4 linked regions of the Saccharomyces cerevisiae S288C genome follow. The gene in region 3 interacts genetically with the main gene of each other region. Each region holds a gene or a part of one and is shown on either strand. Other genes may lie near its edges. The genes, in order: PTC1, IRA2, IRC21 and POL12.

Region 1 (3,959 bases), on a different chromosome or scaffold from region 3:
TAACAATACCACCAACAACGACAGCAATAACAAGAACAATTCTATCACTACCGGAAATGATAATGAAAATATAGTTAATAATGATTTACCAACGACCGTTGTTTCCAATCCTGGAGATAACCCTCCTCCAGCCGACAACGGTGAAGAATACTTGACATTAAATGATTTCAACGACCTTAATATTGACTGGTCGACCACTGGAGATAATGGCGAATTAGACCTCAGCGGCTTCAATATATAGCTTGGTCTTCCTATTGTTAACTATTGACTTGTAAACCGTGTTGTGCATTCGCTACGTGAATTTAATTGGTATATATATGATAGAATATGTTCTCCAGTTTAAAAATCTGGAATCCTATTCTACTAAAACCTCATTCGTCATGTGAGAGATGCATGCAAAATAGATTTGGTACGTTTATACATATACATACATACACACATACACATTGCATATCTCTATGTCTATGCATAATTTTTGCGCGGTTTATAACGGATCCTTCTTAGAGGAAGACAACCATGACCGTTACATTATCTGTTGTGCCATTTTCCAAAGCATATCTAACCAAGACTTTTGCAGCTTCATTAGGTTCAGTAATATCCTTGATTAATTCGCATGCATCTTGATCATCAATAACATCCCATAATCCATCACACGCTAGGATTAAAAATTTGTCCTCAGAAGTTATTTCTACGCTCGTGGTAAATGGGCTGCCCACTACTAAACTATCAAAAAATTTATCCCCTAACGATCTCGTCACTGCCAGCATACCATTTACACGACTTTTCATTATCAGGCCACCTGCTTGTTCAACTCTCTGCATCTCCAAAGTGTCAGATGCCTTATGATCATAAGTCAGTCTTATGCTGTTCCCGTTTCTAAACAATACTATTCGAGAATCACCAACATTTGCTGTATATAACTTTCTTTGGTGTTGGGCTAAATCCATTGAATCATCAGAAACTGAATCCGGAAGCTCCCAACGTAATACGCAAACAGCAGCAGTACATCCACTATTTCCTACAAGTTTTGTATTAATTTCTTCGTCAATGGCTAGGAATGAATCGTTCAATACATCTCTAACATCTCGTGTTTCATCTGCCAAAATGTTTTGCTCTATAATTGTATGAAGATGTTTACCACACCATTTGGAGGCCTGAATCCCAGCATGTCCATCAAACACCGCGAAATATCCCCAATCTAATCTTGAAGCAAAGTTTTTAACATACGTATGAACATCTTCCATTGTCCTCCGAAATTTCGAGTTTTTATTTTCCGCCACACCTACTCTATAAGTTATGTCATATGGTGTTTCTGGCCTTTCTAAGATTTCAGAATGATTACTCATTATAATGATTTTTAAAAGATAAATGCAGTGCCTAAATGATATATGAAGTAAGAATGTGCAAAATCTCGTATACTCGGTATAGAATGGAATTTAACTCACCTCCTAATTGATAATACTGCCTATTTATTTTCTTTTCAACGACAACAAAAATAAGCGTTCACTTACTTAAACTATCAAAACTTGTTGTGTTTGGGGTCTGTTAATGTAAAGGAATCCGGATAAAAATTTTGAGACAACTTTGAGAGCTGTTTAAGACGAAAAAAAGTGACCTCAAACACACGAATAATAATGTTTAACTAAGCTTTCAATTTGCAAAGGTATACTTTGTCTTTTGAGTTTTAGTTTCCTATAAAATTAGGACAACAAACCCTCTCAGATGTGTTCACCAGTTTTCCTTTGCAGTTAGAATTCGCGAAGGCCCCGACGCCCTACCTATATTAAGTTTTTGAAACAAATATTGCACGTGATACAAAATGTACACATATTAAGCTTTGTTGAAGCATTACTTATATACGTAAATCTATTATAGAAAAATGTAAATGGGCACATCACAAGTATAAACCTTCTAAATTTTCCTCAACTTTATTTTTCATGACTCTCTCCTTGGCTTGTTTAAAATCCTCCGCTGTAACTTGCATTCTTCTCTCTCTAAGGGCTAACAAACCTGCTTCTGTACACATTGCCTGGATATCGGCGCCTGACAAATCATCCTTTGTTGTTACTAAAGTTTCAAGATTAACGTCCTCACTTAAATTCATCTTGGAAGTGTGAATCCCTAAAATTTTTTTCTTAGTACTTAGATCAGGGTTTTCAAATAAGATTTTACGATCAATTCTCCCAGGCCTGATTAATGCTGGGTCAAGAGTCTCGATTTTGTTAGTGGCCATAATCACCTTCACATCCCCTCTGTCGTCGAACCCGTCCAGCTGGTTCAGCAATTCCAGCATGGTTCTCTGAATTTCTCTCTCACCACCACTATTGGAGTCATATCTTTTAGTACCAATGGCGTCTATTTCATCAATAAATACAATACTTGGTGCATTCTCACCCGCTACTTTGAAAATTTGCCTACACAACCTAGGACCATCCCCCAAATATTTTTGAATTAACTCTGAGCCAACAATCCTTAAGAATGTGGCAGATGTTTGATTTGCAACAGCCTTTGCTAGCAATGTCTTACCTGTACCGGGTGCACCATAAAGAATCACACCCTTGGGAGGTTTGATACCCATCTCTTCATACAGTTCGGGGTGTGTTAACGGTAACTCTACAGACTCTTTTATTTCTTGAATTTGAGATTCTAAGCCACCAATATCACTGTATGATTCTGTTGGCGACTTATCCATTTTCATGACCGAAACCATTGGATCGGCGTCATCCTGTAAAACACCTACGATGGACATGGTTTTATGATGCAATAACACAGAACATCCAGGCTCTAGTAACTCTTTATCGACAAAGGATAAGATAGATACATAATAATCAGGCATAGTTGGACTTGTCACTATCGCATGATCATCGTCTATAATTTCTTCAAGGGTCCCAATGCTCAATGGATTTCCACGTATTTCTTCCAATTGTTTCTTTTCCTCCTCCTGCTTCTTTTCAAAGGGTTTTAAAATTTCAGAGTTAGAGACAAATTCTTCTTCTAATAACAAATGGTCTTTAATTCGTTCCATCCTTAGAAGCTTTAACTTACAACGAGTACTTGGATATATGTTGGGTAATTTTTCAGCAGTAGCTGGACCTCCCTTTCTTTTCTTACGACCAAATTTAGATTGAACGGGAGGTTCATATTTGGGTTTCTGATTAGATCCCTTCTTCTTCTTTTTGTCTTGTCCAGATGATACACCTTGTCCCATTTTATTTTCTATTAAAAACGCTGTCTCTTCTTTAACTTGAATTGACTGTAAGCTTGACACTGATACGCATCATATTCACTAATATTCACATTAACCTTCTTTTAGGTAAAAGAAAAGAGACATTTGCCACCGGAGAAAAACCGTTAATAACTCGTTACCCGGAGTGATAAAAATATTGGGAATATAAAAATGACGACAACTGCAGGACTCGAACCTGCGCGGGCAAAGCCCAAAAGATTTCTAATCTTTCGCCTTAACCACTCGGCCAAGTTGCCTTACTAATGATGAATTATTGACTTAAGATATATCCCAAACCTAGGAATATGTAAACCTGCTGGAATATTATTTGTTAGAATAAAAATCAACTATTCTCTCTCAACTAGTAGTCTTACTACGAGTATATTATAATGTACAATGTTAGATGATGACATAAGGTATGAGAAACTGTCATAGAAGTTAGAGGAAGCTGTATTCTGTATACATAATATTATTGCCTTTATTAACAATGGAATTCCAACAATTATCACTTGTTGATAGTTAGAGGTAAAAAATAGTATTAATGAAGAAATAAGTATTGATCTTCTTATACTAAATAAGAGAGGTATATAAAACACACGCCGATTGGTCATATTAATCATGACCAATATAATAGTGATTCCGGTAGTTACTATACATTGATGTGACGACTCATATTCCTCATATATGTACCTACCATATCATGTTCAATTAATAGATCTTTAGCACAGCTTCA
Region 2 (5,608 bases), on a different chromosome or scaffold from region 3:
AAACAAATAGGGCCCTACCAACAGTCCCCATAATCAGCGGAAAGGTGAGTTTTTCAGAATCACTTATGTATTCCATGTGGTGTGAGGCCTCCGCGATCCCTGCTAAATGTGATCTAACCTTCATAAACTTGACAGTTATATCCAAGAGAATTTGACGCTTTTCATTATTAATTTTCAAATCGAAAAGGCCCATTGCAAATAATGTTACAGTGTAACTGCAAAGAAGATGATACCCTTCAATACTGATATTCTCATCTGATTCACCATAAGTAATAACATTCGATAATAAGGTATCCATGAATGATTGAGCAGTATTCTGTAAATCTACATCCGGACTTACGATGGCGACGAAAATCGGTTTCATAATATTTCTAAAATCCTGCGAAACCCATTGTAAATTCGAGTTTATATTGTGAGGAATGATGAAGTAACTATTCGGTCTCTTAAAAATACTGAAAATATTAATCATTATTCTTCTAGCATCTTGAAGAGTTGCTTCATTCAAATCTTTTGGTATCAAATGTTCTTGAATGTAATTATTTGTTGATTTCATGAATTTTCCTAAACTTTCATCGGAATAACGCCTCGTTCTTATTTTCTGCAAAGGCGATCGAATTCCGAATGCTGCCGACGATAATGGAGTAGAATTTGTTATGGCCATTGGTGTGGCACTGATGCTTTCCGTTTGCGGACGTTGTACTGGTGAAGATTTTTCCGTTCCTGGAGGTGAAGTCAATGTAGTCGGTATTTTATTCCTTATAATACTAGATGGCCCACCTAAAGCATGACGCGCTCTTGGGGCCACAAGATGTGACAAGTATGGATCAGAAGACAAGTTCTTTGGTGAACTGTTTAATGAATTAACGTTGTCAGAATTTCTTGAAGTACTTGAACCAACTAAAGACAGGGTGTTCATTGGACATATATCAGTATCCAGTCCCAGCGGAGAAACTGGTGTCATTGAACTTTGAGATGTAGATCCTGATCTTGACCGGGTTGTCGAACATAAAGAGGGTGAGCTCCCCTTGAAATGTTTCTTCGTACCATACTCATTGATAATTGTACCGTCAAGAATGGAAGCAACTATGTCGGTGATTTGCTCATCAAAATACGGAAATTCTTGTAAAAGAATATCTGCTATAATGGAGAATAATGTTTTGAAAAATTTAGAAATTTTAACCGCAATTGCCTTCCGCAATTCCTTCTTACTTGGTATGTCGAAGAATATCCTGAATCCTTCAGTATAAAGGCATAGCTTCTGCATGTTTAAATTGTTGGCCATTGTATCGATGCTCAGACGTGCCAGTAATAATTCATGATCGAATTGAATAGCTGAAGAGAAGAATATTAATTGTAATTGAACAAACGTGGTGGAGTTTTTTTTCAAACAAACCATCAAACTGTTATTTATTTTTGAATTCCAGTCTTGACCGACGCTTAAATTTGTCCCCATTATGGGGATGAGTCTCTTGGCAAAAAGTACTGAGGGTAAGTTTCTATCCACGAGAAAGACCGCAGAAGTCATTGTAAAGAATGATAGTAAGGCCCTCATTGTATCTAAGAGGGCAACATCTGATACAGCTTGATTCCCATTTAAATTTCTTAGCAACATCTTCACAAATTTTACAGTTTTTTTGGTTGAGGAAGGTAAAGAAGTTAATTTCTTTAAGCCTTGTGTAATATGTTTTATACCCGAAGTCTTTTCGGAACCTGTCTCGTGTGCAGTATTATTGAAAGAACTTGTTCTTTCTTTTGGACGATGCATAGTACAATCAGGAATATATTTGAATGATGTAGCGTTTAATTCATTAAAAAGGTCAATATCGAACATTGTCAAAGTAGTTAAAAACTTCAGTACGGATGTGTGTGGTAGTACCTCAGTATCATCAAAGTGCGTGTATAACTCCAAAACATTATCCAAACGAGTGACAGACAAAAAATGTTCGTCATAATCCTTACCAGTATGGCCAGTTTTGTGTGCATCGTATGAAGCGCGACTTTGTTGCTCTGCTGTGTATCCAGTTGGGGTGGAATTCGATGGTGAAGCAGCTGCGGCGGCGGCTGCAGCTGCTGAGTTCAACCGCTGTTGCAATTGTGTTGTTGGAGTTGGAGTTTGAGATAATAATGAAGATGCACTAATAGTGATGTTAGACATCGTGGGAGTATCTGGTAAGGAAGGGTCATATTCTCCTGGTTGAGTGTGAGTAGAGAAATCAGTTGTTGTTGAATTAGACGTTGAAGATGACAGTGAAGTAGAGGATTGAGAGTTTGTAGTCCATGAAGAATGTAGTTTTCTTTCAGACTGCTGTTGAATGTATGACTGGTGGTGAGAAAGCTGACGACTTAAGGATTTTGCTATTATGTTTTGATTGTTGTTATCCGATGATGATGAGCTAGGTGGTGACGATGGCGAGGAGGACGAAGGGGAAGATGAGCCTTGATGAGCATTTTGATTGGTGGTTATCATGCTATTCACATTAAAAGTCGAATGGATCTCCTCGAAAAGTGTATGGTTTAACGTGTTTAAGGATTTCGAGTGTTCATTGTTATTATCTTTTAATAAGTTGAAGAGTTCATAATATTCCGCAGGCCTAGCCATTATCCAAAACATTATTGCTTTGGCGCTGTAATGCAAAAGTAGGCAATGATAAATCGTTTTCCTTAACGTCACCGATAAGTTTTTGATGAGTTCCAAGTATTTCTTAAAATTATGCTTGCTTAAATAGATGAAGCTGAAAAGATCAAAGTGGGGCACTATGCTGTTATAAACGGAAGATGGCAAAGAGTGTGAATGGGAGTGTGAATGCGTGTGTGTCTGTGTTACGGGCACTTGCACACTCTTTCTGATAAATTCAAAATACTCGGACGGATTGGAAGCCGCTACAAATCGGAGAATATGGCCTAGAGTAGAGTCAATCATTTTACAATGAGAAGGATGGTTGTGCCTTGTCAGATAGGATTTGTGGCGGGGAAGAATCGAGGAACTCAAAGTCGTTAGAATGTTTCCATGAACATGACTGATCATATTTTGTAAAATTTGCAAAGTTCTTGTATTGAACTTCAACTTCGCGCAACTCTCAAGCAATTTCGATGCCAGTTCCGGTATCAGTGCCTGAGGTTTGCTCTGGTGGAAAAAGTGTTTGTTGCCATTGGAATGAGTCGACGAGTAGTCGGGCAGAATACTGTTAAGCTTTGGTCTGTACTTCTGTTCTTGGTCATGTTCTACGTGAGTCGAAATGTCGTTGTAATGAAGGCTTTCTTGATTTTGCCAATTATACTCTAGCGCATCACTTAACAATCTTAGTATAATCAGTATTGATTCAATAACGTCACTGCTACCCTTATCTGAAATGATTTCGTGCCCTTGAAGAAGCGATTCTATCAACTCCAAGGTGCCTTCCACCATAGCATTTGCATCTCGGGAAACGGTAACGTTAATGAGCACAGATCTGCATGAAATGAATGAGGAATACTCTTCCACTTCCGAATAGGTACTTAGATTAGACTCCACCGGAAGGATCGGGAGAATTCTTTCAAAAAGAATATGATTAACCAACGTCCGAGTCATGCGGGATGACTTGGAATCGGTCCCGTGTTCTTTCTTCTTATTCTTAGTGGGCTGGGACATGCTTCTCCCTGAAGAAAGATAATGTATACAGTTTAGTTGATATCAAAAAATGGTGTAACGTTGGGGGAAAAGTAACACTAAAGGAGAAAAGCAAAACGAATAACAGAGGACAATGCTATATGCTAGTGTGCTAAAATGTGGTTAAATGTTTGCTACAATTGGTGAAAAAGTACTTAAGCCTTGTTCTGATTTTGTTTTCGCTTTTTCGGTCTTTTGTTTCCCAGGAGCTCTAGACAATGAAGTAAGCGGAGAGAATGTAGGGCAATAGGATGTGCTTAACTCCCCGGTTATATGTAGAATAGATAATCGTTGGGCAAAACTTTTCACAAGAAGACACAGCAAAGCTTGGGGTTTTCAAAAAGGCGTGCGAGCTTTATTGTGATGGAAATTTTCGTTTCATCAAGGGAGCGTTCTAGAAGAAACGAGAGCTCTACGAACATTTCTGCGCCGCGGATTGATTCACCGATCGGGTGACCCTTTTTGAGGAGCTACTTTGGGTTGGAATCACACTAAAATGTGTAAGGCGGTCAGTATAGCAAAGAACTTGGGGTGGGACGCTGGTGCCGTGCAAGAAAGGCTACGTGAACCTCGTACTAGTCCAAGATATTGGCTCGATGCATTAATGGCAGACTCTTATCTCGCTAAGATGTTTGAAGGCACATCGGTTCTAGAGGTCCAAGTCCCAACCCAAGTCAAGGCCAAGCAAGGCAAGGGGATTTAGAATAGTTCTATCATTCTGCGGGGAATGAGCGGAAGAGTAAGAGTATTGGTTCTGTTGTGGATGACACTTACAAGGGTAACTACTGTTTTTCTTGTTTTCTTATTTTCTTGTTTCCCTGCTTTTCTCTGGGATCTGTGCGGAAGGCGTCATGTCCCTGCTCGTCCCTGATTGTCCGTACTTTTCTGGTTAGCCGTATATCGTTTGAAAGTAGATGGCATGTATGAAGAGCATGATGCTAGGTGATAAGTAATGAGAGGCCTTAGGAAGTAAAGAGTTTCGAAAAGGGTTATTTTATATTTATTGTATTTATTATATTTAATATATTTATGTGTATGTGAAAAGGTACTCATTGCTGTATAAAAATAGAGTTTGACCTAGAGTTCTTCCCAAGTCAGGGCTTTTTCATTGTCGTCACCGTCATAAGAGAGTGAAATGGATGTACTGATGATACTAGAGTCATCCAGTTCTGGTAACGTATCGATTTGAAAGGAGTAAAATGGCTCTTGGGATGCCTGTAAACTTTCTGCAGATAATCTTGAAGGTGGCCTTAAGTTAATCATTGGAGAAGAGCCATACTTGCCCAAGAAGATCACTTCTCCATACTGATTTTCAATCTCGATAGTGGAGCCGGCCTCTAAATCAAGTGCGTATGGAAAGTATCGGTATTCCTTGTACTCCTTTATTCCTATTTCATGAGGACCCATGTCAATAATTTGCGTGGTTGGCTTATCGCCAGCGTCAGTAAACTTCAGTTTGCAGTTGCCTGCCAAAACAGAGTTTGTGTTGTTAAACAACTGGAAATACAATGAATTGTCCCTTTGGTTCATTGTGATTTGCAATGAGCGCTCATTTGGGGGTTCCACTTCTATTTTAGTTTCCTTTTTCGAATGGTCAGAGGCGATTTCCGTCTTACTGTCACATTCTTGTGATAACCTCTCATAGTCATGGTAACGTTGAAAAACGTCCTCAAGTTGTTTGACTGTTTTCAACTCTGTGAAAAAGTTCACTAGTTCGGACCTATCTTCTGGTATGTCAATCGTACCGCTTATTCTGTGGTTAGGTTCTTTATTTGTGACCTTTTGCTCCAATTCCAACTTATTTAACGATTCTTCCAACTTAAGGAGTTGTTTCATGAAGTTATCCAAGCATTCTCTTGACACAACCACATTAGAGGTGGAATTAGGGCTTATCTCTTCTTCGGAACCAGCCTTTGGAGATACGGGATCTTCGTGTGCGTCTTCTCTACATAAGCTTTCCTT
Region 3 (3,421 bases):
CCTTACGTCCTGCTGAAATCAGCAAGATTGCCGGTGAAAAGTGGCAAAATTTAGAGGCTGATATAAAGGAAAAATACATTTCTGAAAGAAAAAAGTTGTATTCTGAATACCAAAAGGCGAAGAAGGAGTTTGACGAAAAACTTCCTCCAAAGAAACCAGCAGGACCCTTCATTAAGTATGCCAATGAAGTTCGTTCGCAAGTTTTTGCACAACATCCTGACAAGTCTCAATTGGATCTAATGAAAATTATCGGAGATAAATGGCAATCCTTGGATCAAAGCATTAAGGACAAATACATACAAGAGTACAAAAAAGCTATCCAAGAATATAATGCTCGCTACCCTCTCAACTAGACCGCGGTACTCTCACAATGTTTTTTATGCCTTTATTCTTTCCGTTCCTATCCAAACAAATAAATAAATTTAACTTAACCAAGCAAGTGTGTAGTGTTTTTATATCCTATGTAAGTCTTCAAACTTTTTTTTTATCTCTGGTAACCTTTATTCGCATACAACGCCAATGAAACAAACCTGTAATAATTTTTCATAGTTAACCCATTGATGATACTTATTAAAATATGTAATCAAATCGTCACTATTACGGTGCTTTATTAAGATGTCCGTACCACCTGGATGGAACTTCAAATAACTAGAAATGTCATAGACTTTGCCGTTTATAACGCACCATAACTCGTCCTCACCTTTACAATGCTTCTTTACGATTTTTCTGTTTATTCTTAAGGGTGGCATTATTTTATAAAGGGGTATCTTTTGGACAAGCAATTGGTTCTTCAGTTGTGAAGGTGAAAACTTGAAGTTATCTTTTTGAAATACCGGATCATCGAGTAAATCCTGGATAAGCTGTAGCGAAACGAATTTTGTATAATAATTCGCTGGATTGGAGGTTAGAGAGTGCCAGTCCAGAGCACTGTGCCCAGGATCTAGTCTTATTTTGGTTCTTACAAGAGGCTTTCTTGACGACTTCGACATGGGCATATGCAGCGGGGATGATATGGCAGGATGAGCAACGCTTAGTCGCTGAGGAGCAGCGAATCTGACATTTGGTTTCGAGTTTGAAACATCTCTGTTCATGCCGTCACTACTCATATCTCTATGAGTGTAATCTAAGCACCTGCTAATATGTTATATTCTGCTTATTCGTCCTTTTGCTACACATAATTAATGTAACTTTAACTCTAGTTCTATAAAGGATATGATTTGTACTAAATGTAACATTATACGAAAAAACATATTATTCGTTTATATAAACTAATCAAAGAAGTCGTCATCATCTTCGTCGTCATCATTTTTAGCATTCTGCTTGTCAAATGAATTCAGATCTTCGCTGAAATCTTTCCGTTCGAAGATAATCTTACTGTTATTTTGTGAATTTTGTTGCTTGGCGATACCATTCAAGATTGAAACAATTTCAGCTTCAGTGATTTTATGAGTGACGTTGTTTGTAGCAATCAGTTTCTTTAAGTATGTCTCTACTGCTTGGGCCCTGTCTCTACGGACCAAGGCCACTCGAGATAATCTTTCTAAAGCTTGTGGCTCCAAGAAATTTGCAATAGCTGCACCAACGGGAGCGGAATTTTCACCTCCACCATTATTAGCACCGCTATTTCTATCGCCGTTGGTACCCCCACTGTTGTTTTTCAACTGAGCCAATCTGGCTTCCCTAATAGCTTGTAACTCTGGGTCCATATCTGAGCACACACTTCCTCCTGAATTGTAATCCAGAGAGCAAGAAGATTTTTCAACTTTTACTCTTGGTTCTCCTTGTAGAACCACAAGTGGTATAAAAATTCTCGCTTACCCAGCCCAAAAATTCTCATCTGTTTCTCATCTGTTTCTCGTCCGAATAAGTTTCCCGTTCGCAGCTAGGATTTCACCTGCTCACCATAATAGGCAACTTTCTTCCTCATGTAGGAAATTATACTATTGCTCTCTGTTGCAAGGTTATTTTTGAGCCTTAATACCATATTAGTAGATATAAATACATATATATCGTGTTAACCCATAAGTGGTAGTTTTAGTAGCTCGCTGCAAGATCTGCCTCATTCCTTTGTAGAGAACGACGTACCCACTACGCGTTTGAACATTTGCAACAAGCACGAGAGGAAGGAAGAAGAATACCAAGTATAAACGAGAATAATCACCATAGAAAAACCTATAAAAGACACTTCCATTACCATCTGCTAATAATAATACAATGGACACCAGCAAGAAAGATACTACTAGGTCGCCCTCACATTCCAACAGTTCTTCTCCTTCATCTTCTTCTCTCTCTTCATCTTCTTCCAAAGAGAAAAAACGTCCTAAGAGACTATCCTCCCAGAATGTAAATTACGATTTGAAAAGGAGAAAGATCATCACTTCTGAAGGTATAGAAAGATCATTCAAGAACGAGCATAGCAATCTTGCAGTTGAAGACAATATCCCGGAAGAAGAACCCAAGGAACTTCTTGAAAAGGACTCCAAGGGTAATATCATCAAACTTAATGAGCCATCCACCATCTCGGAAGATTCGAAGGTATCTGTCACTGGATTGCCGTTAAATAAAGGTCCTTCTGAGAAAATCAAGCGAGAGTCTCTTTGGAATTATAGAAAAAATTTGGGAGGCCAATCGAACAACTCAGAAATGACGCTGGTCCCCAGTAAAAGATTTACTCAGGTGCCGAAAAATTTTCAGGATTTGAACAGAAATGATTTGAAAACGTTTTTAACTGAGAACATGACTGAAGAGAGCAATATACGGTCAACTATTGGTTGGAATGGCGATATAATAAACAGAACTCGTGACCGTGAACCTGAAAGCGACCGCGATAATAAAAAGCTATCAAATATTAGAACCAAAATAATACTTTCAACGAATGCTACCTATGATTCAAAAAGTAAACTATTTGGCCAAAATTCCATCAAGTCAACATCGAATGCGAGTGAAAAAATTTTCAGGGACAAGAACAATTCAACCATAGATTTTGAGAATGAAGATTTTTGTTCGGCTTGTAATCAGTCAGGTTCTTTTTTATGCTGTGATACATGCCCCAAATCCTTTCACTTTCTTTGCTTAGACCCACCAATTGATCCGAACAACCTGCCTAAAGGTGATTGGCATTGTAATGAATGTAAGTTTAAAATCTTCATAAATAACTCAATGGCAACTTTAAAAAAAATTGAATCCAACTTCATTAAGCAAAATAACAACGTCAAGATTTTTGCTAAATTACTTTTCAATATCGATTCCCACAACCCAAAACAGTTCCAGCTACCAAATTATATAAAAGAAACCTTTCCTGCTGTGAAAACGGGTTCGAGAGGACAATACTCTGATGAGAATGATAAGATTCCATTAACTGATAGACAATTGTTTAACACTTCTTATGGCCAAAGCATAACTAAATTGGACTCTTACAACC
Region 4 (4,830 bases), on a different chromosome or scaffold from region 3:
TTGGCTTTCTTCAAGGAGTCGATTGTTTCAACAGAGTATAAATTTGGCACTTTAGCCAAATCTTTACATTTATTCGTTTGCAAACCGCCAATAAAGTGCCACTTGATATCGTCTGGTAGTAATTTTGCCTTTTCGATCAACTCTTGAACATAGTTTTCCCCGAACTCCCTCACACCATGGTCGTAAAGAATTTGTATATCGCTAGCTGGTTTCAATTTCGAAACAACCAATAATAAAATTTTGGAGGCATTTTCATTAACATGAACATTTTTTGCCTCTGCATTCACAACTTCCCTTACAGATTCGTATTGGGCAATTAATTGTGTCTTTCTATCTTCATCATAAGTAATACCAGTGGACATATTGCAATGTGATGCTGGAATCTTAGTCAAAAAGGAAAGAGTGATGCCTATCAGTTTTTTTTTTTATTATGCATTTAAGAGTAGTCTCTACTTATGAACATTTTCTCTGGCCTCTGATCACGTTACTTTATTACCCGGATACTGATCATGTTATGGTCTTTAATCAATAAGTAAGTTATAGAGCCAGTTTCAAGGTCGATAGTTCAGGTGTATAACAATACTTTTTGGTGCTACCTTGAGCTATTCCATTAGTTAAGTTTGAATTAAATATATCAACTAGCAATCAAGTCAACTCTAGCGCGCTTCCACACGTTGTGTAGATAAACTGGCTCTTCACCTTCAACAAGCGTCAATTTCCCGTCTTCAAGATCAGGGCATTGGACAGTAATTTGTGCATAGGATCCCCTGTTACCTGTTGCTCTAATAAATCTTCCGGGATTTATAACAACTACGTTTTGGACAACTCTTGCAAAGTGTTGTAATTCACTGGGTATAATCATTATGTCAGGCGAGAACCCACCAACAAACTCTGTTAGTCCCAGATAACTCACGTCTAAATCTGCACCAGATATATGTTCATAAACTTTTTCTTCTTTGCTTTCCATATCATTGGTTTCCTTCTTCGTAGATACGTCTTTTGGTTTTATTCTTGTACGAATACTACCTGGAAATATGGGGTAATACCTGCGCTGTTGTAAAATATGCTCAGAAACACGATCTAATCTATATCTTGATGAGGTAGTACCGCCTTTTATGACTTCCTTTAGATCTTTGAATGTATCAACGTTTGAGCAACCGAAGTATATCTCATTTATTTGAAAAGATGAAGGATTAGCCATGCATTTGAAGTTCCTTTTAGGCAGCTGTAAAGCCTTTCTAATTAAAGAAGCTTGTGGATATGCGGCGTGATTAGAAATTGCATCTTTTGTGGAGGGTATCAATACGGTTTGGATATGTGGTGATATGGTTTTTAGAATAGGAGTAAATAACTTCAAAAAAAGCTCGTCCAATGTTTTGGGCTGTGTCTTGAACTGGGGAAAATTTGGCAATTTACCACTCGCTATCAGAGGATGGGTGATATCTATAAATGGGCCAAACATTATCAAGACGTGAGGTTTTACCTCATTATTTATACTATCGATAAATTCTTGCAACAATTCGAGGGAGAAGTTATCATTTGCAAAGTATGGGCCACAGGTCACGATAACCTTCAAAGAAGAACCTTCCAAATTTGCTTGAAACTCCTGCAGTTCCTGCGATGTGGACACTGGGGAGTTTGGATAAGGTAGCGGCAAAATAGAGTTAACGGTGAAGTAATCCCCATTAGCATTTTTACCTTTGAATGCCACAATTTGGCCTAAGAAAAACGAAAGCTCGTTGACCTGCGATAGATCTAACCTTACCCTTCTTCCAACGCCGCCCATTCTTGAGGTCTCTAGGGAAAGCGATTCTGGATTCAAAAACTTGTCGTAGGTCGGCGAATCTGGAACTATCCTTCCAACAGCATAAATTTCGGACTGAGATTGAATAGTTGGATCAGCGAAGTCGTTTGGAGATAACTTATAGTGATTTTGAATAATCTTAGTAAACGATTCAATTTGATCATCGAGGACATCAGACGCTTCCTGTAAGTTTTGCCTCATTGTTCTGAATTTATACTTTTTAGCATCATAAAATGGTTCTACTTTGACCTGGTTATATGATGGTTCTTCAGTCGAAAGAAGGCCTACATTTGGATTACCAGATGATATTTCAATATTTTCAGGGTTCAAAGAATCCAAAATTTCACCAGCAGGAACATTTTGCCTCGATGTGGTAGGAGTGTTTGTTGTTGGAGTTTGGAATGTCGACGAGCCGGGAGTCTTGGCATCCGAGCTTTTAGCGTGGGACAATGGAGCACTGTCACCCACAGCATCTTCTGCCATGCCTGGAGTAAACTCCAATTTTAAAGAACTATTTCCTTTTTCATTTGTTTCTGCCTCAGAGCCTACATTATATGTTTGCTTGGAATCACTGAGTGAAAAGGGACCATGTAACTTTCTTTTTTTTAAAGTCGGAGTCTTTGGAATACTAAGGCCAAACAAGGGACTTGAATTCAAACTTTTTTTAATCACTGGTTTTTTTGTGGATGTGTTTACCTTAGAGGACGATGAAATTTGGTTAGCACGCTTTTCCATTTGTAATTGTAAAAATTGTTTAAACTCATCTATGTTCTTGGAAGTCAGATCTGTGTGAGTTTGACGCCTTTGATTGGAGAACTGCTCCCATTTAATGTATAGATCCTCGACGGACAATGCATGCAGTTTAGTTAAATTCTCTAATGCAGTGATGATTTCCGGCTTGTCTGCATCAGGCCCAAAATGAGTGATGACATCGATAGATCCGCTCATTTTTTTTTTTTTCAGTCACTTGCTCCTGCCTAAATTTACCTTCAAGCTTTGTTGAACCAATTGACAATCAATTATCTTGATATTTTTATATGCAAATATATTATGTATATGAAACAAAATGTTATATGTGTCTACAAAGAGCTCATATTATTACAGTTTTAGAAAAGAGAAAGAACTAAGAAACTCTGGTGAGACGCGTCACGGTAAAAAAAAATTACGCGTCTACCACGCTATTCTCTATTCGTTTGAGGCGATGAACATGATCATTTTAAAGACATTCTTAGGCAAACAATCGAATAATCGTTCGGTTTCTTGCTCAGTATAATCTGGAGTAGTTTGGAGGACTCTCAAACAACGAGCTAATACCACGGCACTGGTGAAGTTCCACGAAGTATTATCAGTCCCCATAATGAAATAGCTCATTGTTTGGATAATCTCTGATATATTAGATTTCTTGAATTGTTGGCAAATGGTAGGAGATTGCAGCATCTTCCATAAGGTCTCAATTAAAAATGTTTCTTTCACACCAGCGGTGTCAGGCTGAATTTCAGTAACCAACATGCTTAGAATTCTTGTTGCCGAATGTTTTTTGAAAAAGTGCGATAACATTAGACTGTCCCTGAACTCTTGCGCTAATTTATAGATTTCGTTTCCATAATCAGAAAATTTATTAAGCATTAAAAGGATCTGTTCCCATACTTCTTCGAAACACATTCTCACCGAAACGCCATCATCGTCGGCATTCTCGCTTAGTGTATTTAGAAACTTTTTCCAAACCAAAAGACAATGAACGAGAATTATGGACTTACTGGATATTTTTGATGGAATTGAAGGCGTGTCATCAGTAGATTTCAAAAGCATAATAGCAACATCCAGTAGTTCATCAAAACCATTTTCATTCGTCAACCAATCGGTCATTTTTTGATTTTGAAAACAAGTAATCAAGGGTTCGATCAGGTAATTTATATGTTTCATAGTGAACGATCCACTTTTTATCCTGTTTATTGCCTTTGACATGTGATTGAAATAGACATCAAAATCCATCAAAGTGTTGCCATTAGAATCAACCATTAAAAGATGACTAATTTCATATACAGTCAAGGAATCCCTTGGGAAATTATCCATGATAAGCAAATGCATCTTCTCTGATTTTTTGTTATTAACTAGTTTCATCTTTTTGGAGTTTATGTCTTGTTCAGTTAGTGCTACGTCTCTTTCTCTCTTTACTGTGATCCTTTGCTTTTGACCCATATTCTCGTCCCCGTTTATTTTGATTGGTGACATTGTTTCCAAATCAGGCTTTTCATTCTCATTCCCATTTCCAATAAGTTTTTCTGGCTCATTTATTATCTTTGGAGGATCTGTACTGAATTTTACTGTTGGTTCATTATCGTCCTTCAATTTCCTTTCGGTATTTTCACCACTGTTTTGAAAAATTTCACTTAAATTCAAATCAGATTTTTGAGAATTTTCCATATCTATATCATCTTCCTCCTTTGCTGGGTTTGGCTGGTCCAGTTGATAAACACTTACTATTTTCGTCATTTCTGAAAGCTTTTTATCTTTGTCATTATCATCATGAATAACTACGCTGTCTGTGCTTGATGTTCTTTTTCCAACGTTATTCTTCAACTCTAGTGTTTTATCAGTTTCCAAGTTTTTGAAGGGATTAATCATTGTCATTTCCATGCATTTCTTAACATCATTTTCGTCTACAGCATCGTCGGATTCCTCATCCCCTTCAGATTTTTTATTGTCGATGGGAGTGAAGCTTACAGAACTTTCTCTAGAAATGATGTCTTCTACCTTAAAGTTGGCATCCTTCTTTTCAAGTTCATGACAGATTTTCATCTTGGTAGATACAATGTCAAAATCAGCTAGCAATTTATTAAAACGATTATTATCGAATTTATAAATTTCAAAAATTAGATTGAAATAACATGTGTAGTCAAACTCTTTACCGTAGATTTGAAAGAGTATCATTGATATTTTAGGCATGAGATCGTTCGTTCCTGACCTCAGAGTGTTATCATGTTTTATGTTCAAGTTACGGAAAATCTCTAAAAGTAACTTGAAAT

The links.
Region 1: mutations in IRC21 (region 3) and PTC1 together harm fitness more than expected from each alone (negative genetic interaction), as found in Saccharomyces cerevisiae (4 studies listed by BioGRID, with this or other methods).
Region 2: mutations in IRC21 (region 3) and IRA2 together harm fitness more than expected from each alone (negative genetic interaction), as found in Saccharomyces cerevisiae (4 studies listed by BioGRID).
Region 4: mutations in IRC21 (region 3) and POL12 together harm fitness more than expected from each alone (negative genetic interaction), as found in Saccharomyces cerevisiae (2 studies listed by BioGRID).

Annotation. Positions count from the first base shown.
Region 1 is NC_001136.10:437,296-441,254, reverse strand, and holds PTC1 (type 2C protein phosphatase PTC1), read right to left. Parts: upstream 1,347-3,959; coding exon 501-1,346; downstream 1-500. Other genes in the region: MED2 (Med2p), read left to right, coding at 1-241; proteasome regulatory particle base subunit RPT2, read right to left, coding at 1,895-3,208. UniProt on the Saccharomyces cerevisiae protein: Serine and threonine phosphatase. Involved in tRNA splicing and cell separation.
Region 2 is NC_001147.6:169,090-174,697, reverse strand, and holds the start of IRA2 (Ras GTPase activating protein IRA2), read right to left. Parts: upstream 3,629-5,608; coding exon 1-3,628. Other genes in the region: ATG19 (Atg19p), read right to left, coding at 4,724-5,608. UniProt on the Saccharomyces cerevisiae protein: Inhibitory regulator of the Ras-cyclic AMP pathway. Stimulates the GTPase activity of Ras proteins.
Region 3 is NC_001145.3:411,768-415,188, forward strand, and holds IRC21 (Irc21p), read right to left. Parts: upstream 1,107-3,421; coding exon 501-1,106; downstream 1-500. Other genes in the region: DNA-binding protein ABF2, read left to right, coding at 1-353; SDD2 (Sdd2p), read right to left, coding at 1,269-1,706; RCO1 (Rco1p), read left to right, coding at 2,215-3,421. UniProt on the Saccharomyces cerevisiae protein: Involved in resistance to carboplatin and cisplatin. Is probably involved in a pathway contributing to genomic integrity.
Region 4 is NC_001134.8:150,859-155,688, forward strand, and holds POL12 (DNA-directed DNA polymerase alpha subunit POL12), read right to left. Parts: upstream 2,753-4,830; coding exon 635-2,752; downstream 1-634. Other genes in the region: YBL036C (pyridoxal phosphate homeostasis protein), read right to left, coding at 1-362; STU1 (Stu1p), read right to left, coding at 2,990-4,830. UniProt on the Saccharomyces cerevisiae protein: Non-catalytic component of DNA polymerase alpha, which in a complex with DNA primase (DNA polymerase alpha:primase) constitutes a replicative polymerase.